Macaca mulatta: one gene and its partner. The protein of the gene in region 2 binds, or shares a complex with, the protein of the main gene of each other region. Links are inferred from orthologs where the notes say so. Each region holds a gene or a part of one and is shown on either strand. Other genes may lie near its edges. The genes, in order: S100A13 and IL1A.

Region 1 (3,594 bases), on a different chromosome or scaffold from region 2:
AAAATTAACTAAGGCAATACAGGCAGAATGTTTAGCACTGCACCTGGTACTTAGTAAGCCCTCCATACATGTTCACCACTATCACTGTCATCCAACGGACAAGCTCCAAGAAAAAGGAAACACAGCAGGACCATGCAGCTGAGCCCCTGAGTCACCTCTCCTGCCCCACATCTCTGCCTCTACTTTTCTTTTTTCTTTTTCATTTTTCATTTTTTTTGTTTTGTTTTGTTTTCATTTTTGAGATGGAGTTTTGCTCCTGTCTCCCAGGCTGGAGTGCAATGGTGCGATCTCGGCTCACTACAGACCCTCCTCCTGGGTTCAAGTGATTTTCCGGCCCCAGCCTAGCTAATTTTTGTATTTTTAGTAGAGATGAGGTTTCGCCATGTTGGCCAGGCTGGTCTTGAACTCCTGACCTCAAGTGATCCACCCGCCTCAGCCTCCCAAAGTGCTAGGATTACAGGCGTAAGCCACTGTGCCCAGTCCTCTGCCTCTACTTTTCATATATTCATTTAACCATTTACTGGGCATCTGCTCTGTACAAGACCTGGTGCTAGATGATGCGGAATGTTCAAAGATGAATAACATTCCCTGTCCTCAAGGGGCTCATAATTTTCAGATCCATCCTCAGGTCAAGGGAGAGCTTTCCCACCCTCTGGTCTCAAGAAAAGAAATCAGGATGGAGTGTGAGTAAGAAACATTTGTGTTTCAAGGATGAAGCTTTATTTGAGAAGAGTGCAGTTCTGCTCGGCCCTGACCAGCCCTGCCCTGCCCACCCCCATCCCAGCCAGGCGGCTTTACTTCTTCCTGATCTTCAGGTCCTTCTTCTTCCTGATTTCCTTGGCCAGCTCCCCAATCAGTCTCCAGTACTCATTGAACTTGAGCTCCGAGTCCTGATTCACATCCAAACTCTTCATCTTCTCATCAAGACAGCCCACATCCTGAGAAGACACCAAAGGAAAGGGTAGAGTTAGAAACTGGGGTTCTTGAGAAAACAGGGAGGGAAGAATTGCCAGCTGCCATTCTCTCAAGGCCCTTCCCTCAGAGAGCAGTGGCACCTGCCTCTTCTCTAAAGAATGAGGCTGCAGCCCCAAAACTACACTGCCATGGGGTGCCTCTCCAAGGAGCACCAACAGAGAGAGGTAGGGGTCCTGAGTCCTAGTGCTTGCCATTGTGTAAATACTTCCACCATGGCACAAACAGGTTGTCGCTTAATATAAAGCTGGAAAGAAATGCACACAATCTGCTCTCACCAGCACACTGCTGCAGCTGCTGTGGGATCGGCCCAAGGATTTGCCAGCATCTCGGGGAGATGCTGCAGGGTTGGACCCAGTCTGAGCTTTCTGGGGCCACCCTCCTCTTTATCAGAAAGCTGAAGAAGTTCCCAGTACTTAGCTGCTCATTCGCACGACCCCTGTGTCTTTTCATTTATCTAGCTGGGTCACTAGATCAGGGGAAAGACATGGAGTATCTGGGTTTTTAGGGGGCCCTTGACACAGCCTCTCTCATAGGCCTGTGAAATCAATGGCAACAGTAAACCAGATGTCCTGATCGAAGGACCTGTTGCCAGATAAACAAGCACAACCAAAACGTTGACTGTTGAACAATAGTTCAACATCAAACAAGAGAAGGGTGCCTCAGGCAGGGTGTGATGCTCAAGGTTTGAACCAACATTTGGACGCAGACAGAGAAGACTCACCAAATCTCTAAAGGGAACAAAGCTGATTCACAGAAGAGCTAAAAAGACTTTTTTTTTTAAGTTACAACCACATTTAATTATAATATACTACAAGCACTGCCAGTGGAAGGCAAGGATGACTACTGTAACATTATATTGGGGGTGCATTCAATTAGTAAAGATAAATAAGTAAGTATTAAGAAGGAAGAAGCAGGAAGGGTGTGGTGCCTTACGCCTGTAATCCCAACACTTTGGGAGGCTGAGGTGGGTGGACCACTTGAGGTCAAGAGTTTAAGACCAGTCTGGCCAACAAAGCGAAACCCTACCTCTACTAAAAATACAAAAATTAAGCAGGCCAGGTGTGGTGGCTCACGCCTGTAATCCCAGCACTTTGAGAGGCCAGGGCGGGCAGATCACCTGAGGTCAGGAGTTCAAGACCAGTCTGCCCAACATGGGGAAACCCTGTCTCTACTAAAAATACAAAAATTAGCCAGGCATGGTGGTGGGAGCCTGTAATCCCAGCTACTTGGGAGGCTGAGACAAGAGAATTGCTTGAACCTGGGAGGCGGAGGTTGTGGTGAGCAGAGATCACGCCATTGCACTCCAGCCTGGGCTACAAAGTGGGACTCTGTCTCAAAAAAAGAAAAAAAAAATACAAAAATTAGCTGGGTGTGGTAGTGCACACCTGTAGTCCCAACTACTTGGGAGGCTGAATCAGAAGAATCCCTTGAGTATGGGAGGCAGAGGCTGTAGTGAGCCGAGATCAAGCCAGTGCCTTCCAGCCTGGGTGACAGAGCGAGACTCTCTCAAAAAAAAAAAAAAAAAAAAAAGAGCTGAAGACAGAAACAAAACAAAGGCCAAATACCAAATACCATATCGGTATCAGTGGGTTCCACAGCCCTGGATTCAACCAACCTAAGACCAAAAATATTTGAAGGAAAAAATCCACAAAATTCCAAAAAGCAAAACTTAAATTTTGCCCCATGCTAAGTACTACGTTGAATCCATGTGAATGAAGTGATGAGTAGGCATTGCATTATGTATTACAAGTAACCTAGAGTTACTTGTAATTTAAAGTATACAGGAGGATGTGCATAGGTTATATGCAAGTACTATCTGATTTCATATAAGGGATTTGAGGCGAGGCATGGTGGCTCACACCTGTAATCTCAGCACTTGGGGAGGCCAAGGTGAGAGGATCGCTTGAGCCCAGGAGTTCAAGACCAGCCAGGGCAACATAGTGAGACCCCCATCTCTACAAGAAAAGGACAAGAAAAGGTACTGGAGCATCCAAGGATTTTGGCATCCAAGGGGGTCCTGGGAATAATTCCCATGGATACAAAATGACAACTATATATTTCATATTATACCACAGGGATATTTAAAAAAAACTTGAATAAATAGAAAATTAGATAAATATATATTTTTCTTAAAGAGAAAGGCTCAACTGGGTAAAAATGTCAATTTTCCCTAAAATATATCTTTTATATGATCCCAATTAAACTATTTACAGGATTTTTTTTTCTTTTTTTTTTTTTTTGAGATGGAGTCTCTGTTGCCCAGGCTGAAGTGCAGTGGTATGATCTCAGTTCACTGCAACCCCTGCCTCCTGGGTTCAAGCAATTCTCCTGCCTCAGCCTCCCGAGTCACTAGGATTACAGGCACCCATCACCACACCTGGCTAATTTTTGTATTTTTAGCAGGGATGGGGTTTCACCATGTTTGCTAGGCTGGTCTCAAACTCCTGACCTCAGGTGATCCACCCACCTCAGCCTCCCAAAGAGCTGGGATTACAGGCATGAGCCACCACACCCGGCTTACAGGATTCTTTTTAACATTATAAAATGTTACTGGCCAGGCATGGTGGCTCACACCTTTAATCCTAGAACTTTGGGAGGCCAAGGCAGGTGGATAACTCA
Region 2 (4,607 bases):
TAGCCCTCACAAGATTCTCAGGAGGAGAGGGGGTAATCAGGATTAACATTTCTGTGTTGCCTAAGGAGGAACCAAGGTAAGCAGAAATGTAGCCAGTTGGCTGACATCACTGTTCCTTCAGGATTTATCCTTAGACACCCAAGCTTCTACCCTAGTCTGGTGCTACACTTACATTGCTTACATCCAAGTGTGGTTATTTCTGTGGCTCTTGTTATAACTATTATAGCACCAGGTACATGACCAGGAGAATTAGACTGGCATTAAATCAGAAAAAGAGATTTTGCACCTGAAATAGACCTTATGACATCTAACCAATCCTATTATTTATAATTAAACAGGAACAGAGGGAATACTTTATCCAACTCACACAAGCCGCTTTCCTCCCAGATCCACACTTTTTTGCTTTTCTATACCATGTTTTAGTGCCTTGCCTCTTTTTTTTTTCTCTCCCTCTTCTACCTTGTTCTTCCATCCATTTCCTTTGTTTGTTTGTTTGTTTATTTTTTTTTTAGAGATGGGGGCTTCACTACGTTGCCCACACTGGACTCGAACTCTGAGCCTCAAGTGATCGTCCTGCCTCAGCCTCCTGAACAGCTGGCACTACAGGGGCATGCCACCACACCTAGTTCATTTCCTTTATTTAAAATATTTATGGCTTAAACTCCACCTGGGAACATCCATTTGCTAAGAGTCTGGTGTTCTGCCACCTGAACTAGGCTGGCCACGGGAATTATAAAAGCTGAGAAATTCTTTAATAATAGTAACCAGGCAACACCATTGAAGTCTCAGATGTAAAAATCCATGCCTTCCTTTCTCCCAATCTCCATTCCCAAACTTAGCCACTGGCTTCTGGCTGAGGCCTTAGGCATACCTCTAGGGGCTTTCACACACCTTCTTCTACAGAAGACACACCTTGGGCGTATCCTACAGAAGACCAGGCTTCTCTCGGGTCCTCGGTAGAGGGCTACTTTACTGTAACAGGGTCAGGGTGGAGAGTTCTGTCCCGAAGCTCTGTCCCCTCTCCAGGAAATGTGTTGACAATATTCAGAGGAGTAAGAGGGTCAAGACTTCTTTGTGGTCAAATATCACTTTTCTCTTCTCTACCCTGACCTAACCAGGAGCTTGTCACCCCATACTCTGAAGTGATTTATGCCTTAATCAAGCAAACTTCCCTCTTCAGAAAAGATGGCTCATTTTCCCTCAAAAGTTGCCAGAAGCTGCCAAGTATTCTGCCAATTCACATTCAACCTGGAGCACAACCAACAGATTCAGCCGGAACACAACTCCAGCTACTATTAGAACTATTATTATTCATGAATTCCTCTCCAAATCTAGCCCCTTGGCTTCTGATTTCAGGATTTCTCCCTTCCTCCTAGAAACTTGATAAGTTTCCTGCACTTCCCTTTTTCTAAGACTACACGTTTGTCATCTTATAAAGCAAAGCAGTGAATAAAGGAACCAAGTCAATAACTTCTGGAATATCTGCAAACAACAATAATATCAGCTATGCCATCTTTCATTATTTTAGCCAGTATCAAGTTGAATGAACGTAGAAAAATACAAAACTGAATTCTTCCCTGTAAATTCCCCGTTTTGACGACGTACTTGTAGCCACGCCTACTTAAGACAATTACAAAAGGCGAAGAAGACTGACTCAGGCTTAAGCTGCCAGCCAGAGAGGGAGTCATTTCATTGGCGTTTGAGTCAGCAAAGGTATTGTCCTCACATCTCTGGCTATTAAAGTATTTTCTGTTGTTGTTTTTCTCTTTGGCTGTTTTCTCTCACATTGCCTTCTCTAAAGCTACAGCCTCTCCTTTCTTTTCTTGTCCCTCCCCGGTTTGGTATGTGACCTAGAATTACAGTCAGATTTTAGAAAATTATTCTCTCATTTTTCTGATAAGGACCGATTCGTTTTACTGAGAGATGGCAGAATTAGCTTCCTGTGAGGGCATGGGGTGAATACAACTGAGGCTTCTCATGGGAGGGAATCTCTACTACCCAAAATTATTGGGAGAAAATTGAACATTTCCAAGTCTGTCTCTCCCTTACCTCTGTGTAAGGGAAACACCTTATTCTTGTGGTGTTTCTGTAACCTCTTCAAACTTTCATTGATTGAATGCCTGTTCTGTGCAATACATTAGGTTGGGCACATAAGGAATAACAATATAAATAAAACATTCTAAAAGAAGTTTACGATCTAATAAAGGAGACAGGTACATAGCAAACTAATTCAAAGGAGCTAGCAGATGGAGAAAATGCTGAATGTGGACTAAGTCATTCAACAAAGTTTTCAAGAAGCACAAAGAGGAGGGGCTCCCCTCACAGGTATCCGGGTTAGAGGCTGGCTGAGCTGACCGTGGCTGGTGTTCTCTGTTGCAGAAGTCAAGATGGCCAAAGTTCCGGACATGTTTGAAGACCTGAAGAACTGTTACAGGTAAGGAATAAGATTTATCTCTTGTGATTTAATGAAGGTTTCAAGGCTCACCAGAATCCAGCTAGGCGTAACAGTGACCAGCATGGGGCCAGGCCGGCAGAGGCTGGAGGAATGTGTACTAGTTCTGAAGTCAGAGCAGGTTCAGAGAAGACCCAGAAAGACTAAGCATTCAGCATGTTAAACTGAGATTACATTGGCAGGGAGACCGCCATTTTAGAAAAGTTATTTTTGAGGTCTGCTGAGTCCTACATGAATTTCAGCATCAACTCAGACACAGCCTCTGTTGAGATCACATACCCTGATATAAGAATGGGTTTTACTGGTCCATTCTCAGGAAAACTTGGTCTCCTTCAGGAATAGGAAATGACTCCACAGCAAGCTGGGCATGTGAACGCAGATACGCAGGCAAATCTCACTCATATGTAGAAGAAAGGTAAATGAACACAAAGATAAAATTACAGAACATATTAAACTAACATGATGTTTCCATTATCAGTAGTCAATACTAATGCAAACTAGGCTGTCAAAATTTTGCCTGGATATTTTACTAAGTATAAATTATGAAATCTGTTTTAGTGAATACATGAAAGCAATGTGTAACATATAATCTATTTGGTTAAAATAAAAATGAAGTGCTTCAAAACCTTTCTTTTCTCTTAAGGAGCTTAACATTCTTCCCTGAACTTCAATTAAAGCTCTTTAATTTGTTAGCCAGGTCTAATTTTTATAGATAAAGCACAGGTAAAGCTCAAAGCCTCTCTTGATGACTACTAATTCCATATTAGTAAGGTATGAATTACTCTACCTATGTGTATGTGTAGAAGTCCTTAAATTTCAAAGATGACAGTAATGGCCGTGTGTATGTGTGTGACCCACAACTACCGTGGTCATTAAAACACGTTGGCCAGAGACCAAAGTGAAATAACAAACAATTACATTCTCATCATCTTATTTGGCAGTGAAAATGAAGAAGACAGTTCCTCCATTGACCATCTGTCTCTGAATCAGGTAAGCAAATGACTGTAATTCTCATGGGGCTGCTATTCTTACACAGTAGTTTCTTCATCAAAAGAGAACAGCAATGACTTGAATCTTAAATGCTTTTGTTTTACCCTCACTAGACGTCCAGAGACCTGTCTTTCATTGTAAGAGAGACCAGCTGCCTTATAAAGTTGATGTGCATTGGCTTCTCCCAGAACAGAGCAGAATTATCCCAAATCCCTGAGAACTGGAGTCTCCTGGGGCAGGCTTCATCAGGATGTTAGTTATGCCATCCTGAGACAGGCCCCGCAGACCGCTTCACCAGGGGTCTGTCTCCTAACATGATGTGTTGTGGTTGCCCTCTCTGACACCAGCATCAGAGGTTAGAGAAAGTCTCCAAACATGAAGCTGGGGGAGAGGAAGCAAGCCAATTGAAAGTGAGAAATCTACAGCCACTCACCAAGCTGTGTCATTGTGTTTGGAGACCACAAATAGACAGTATAAGTACTGCCTGGTATGTCTTTGGTACTGGCTTTAAAAGCTGTCCCCAAAGGAGTATTTCTAAAATATTTTGAGCATTGTTAAGTAGATTTTTAGCCTCCTGAGAGGGAAGTAATTGGAAAGCTACCACTCACTACAATCATTGTTAACCTATTTAGTTACAGCATCTCATTTTTGAGCATGCAAATATATGAAAAAGTCTTCCTAAAAAATCATCTTTTTACCTTGGAAGGAGAAAGGAAGGTGAGACAAAAGGGAGAGAGGGAGGGAAGCCTAATGAAACATGAGTTACCTAAGACCAGAATGGAGATCCTCCTCACTACATCTGTTGAATACAGCACTACTGAAAGGACTTTCATTCCCTGACCACGAACAGCCTCTCAGTTTCTGTTTTCCTTCCTCTAGAAATCCTTCTATGATGTAAGCTATGGCCCACTCCATGAAGGCTGCATGGATCAGTCTGTGTCTCTGAGTATCTCTGAAATCTCTAAAACATCCAAGCTGACCTTCAAGCAGAGCATGGTGGTAGTATCAACCAATGGGAAGGTTCTGAAGAAAAGACGGTTGAGTTTAAGCCAGTCCATCACTGATAATAACCTGGAGGCCATCGCCAACGACTCAGAGGAAGGTAAGGGGTCAAGCACAATAATATCTTTGTTTCACAGTTATAAGTAAGTAGGGACAATAGAAT

What was found.
Region 1: the proteins of IL1A (region 2) and S100A13 are in contact, whole or in part, in an NMR structure (PDB 2L5X), measured with the Homo sapiens proteins. The link is inferred for Macaca mulatta from reciprocal best matches to the Homo sapiens genes IL1A and S100A13. Residues at the interface, in NP_000566.3 of Homo sapiens: Asn148, Gln150, Tyr151, Thr194, Ala195, Gln196, Asp197, Leu203, Leu204, Lys205, Glu206, Met207, Gly216, Ser217, Glu218, Thr219, Asn220, His239; in NP_001019381.1 of Homo sapiens: Met1, Arg25, Gln26, Glu27, Gly28, Arg29, Lys30, Asp31, Ser34, Asp68, Ser69, Glu70, Lys72, Phe73.

What each region holds. Positions count from the first base shown.
Region 1 is NC_133406.1:113,415,390-113,418,983, reverse strand, and holds the end of S100A13 (protein S100-A13), read right to left. Parts: intron 939-3,594; coding exon 795-938; 3' UTR 698-794; downstream 1-697. UniProt on the Homo sapiens protein: Plays a role in the export of proteins that lack a signal peptide and are secreted by an alternative pathway. Binds two calcium ions per subunit. Binds one copper ion. Binding of one copper ion does not interfere with calcium binding.
Region 2 is NC_133418.1:22,867,369-22,871,975, reverse strand, and holds the start of IL1A (interleukin-1 alpha), read left to right. Parts: upstream 1-1,615; 5' UTR 1,616-1,713; intron 1,714-2,379; 5' UTR 2,380-2,387; coding exon 2,388-2,434; intron 2,435-3,393; coding exon 3,394-3,442; intron 3,443-4,321; coding exon 4,322-4,544; intron 4,545-4,607. UniProt on the Homo sapiens protein: Cytokine constitutively present intracellularly in nearly all resting non-hematopoietic cells that plays an important role in inflammation and bridges the innate and adaptive immune systems.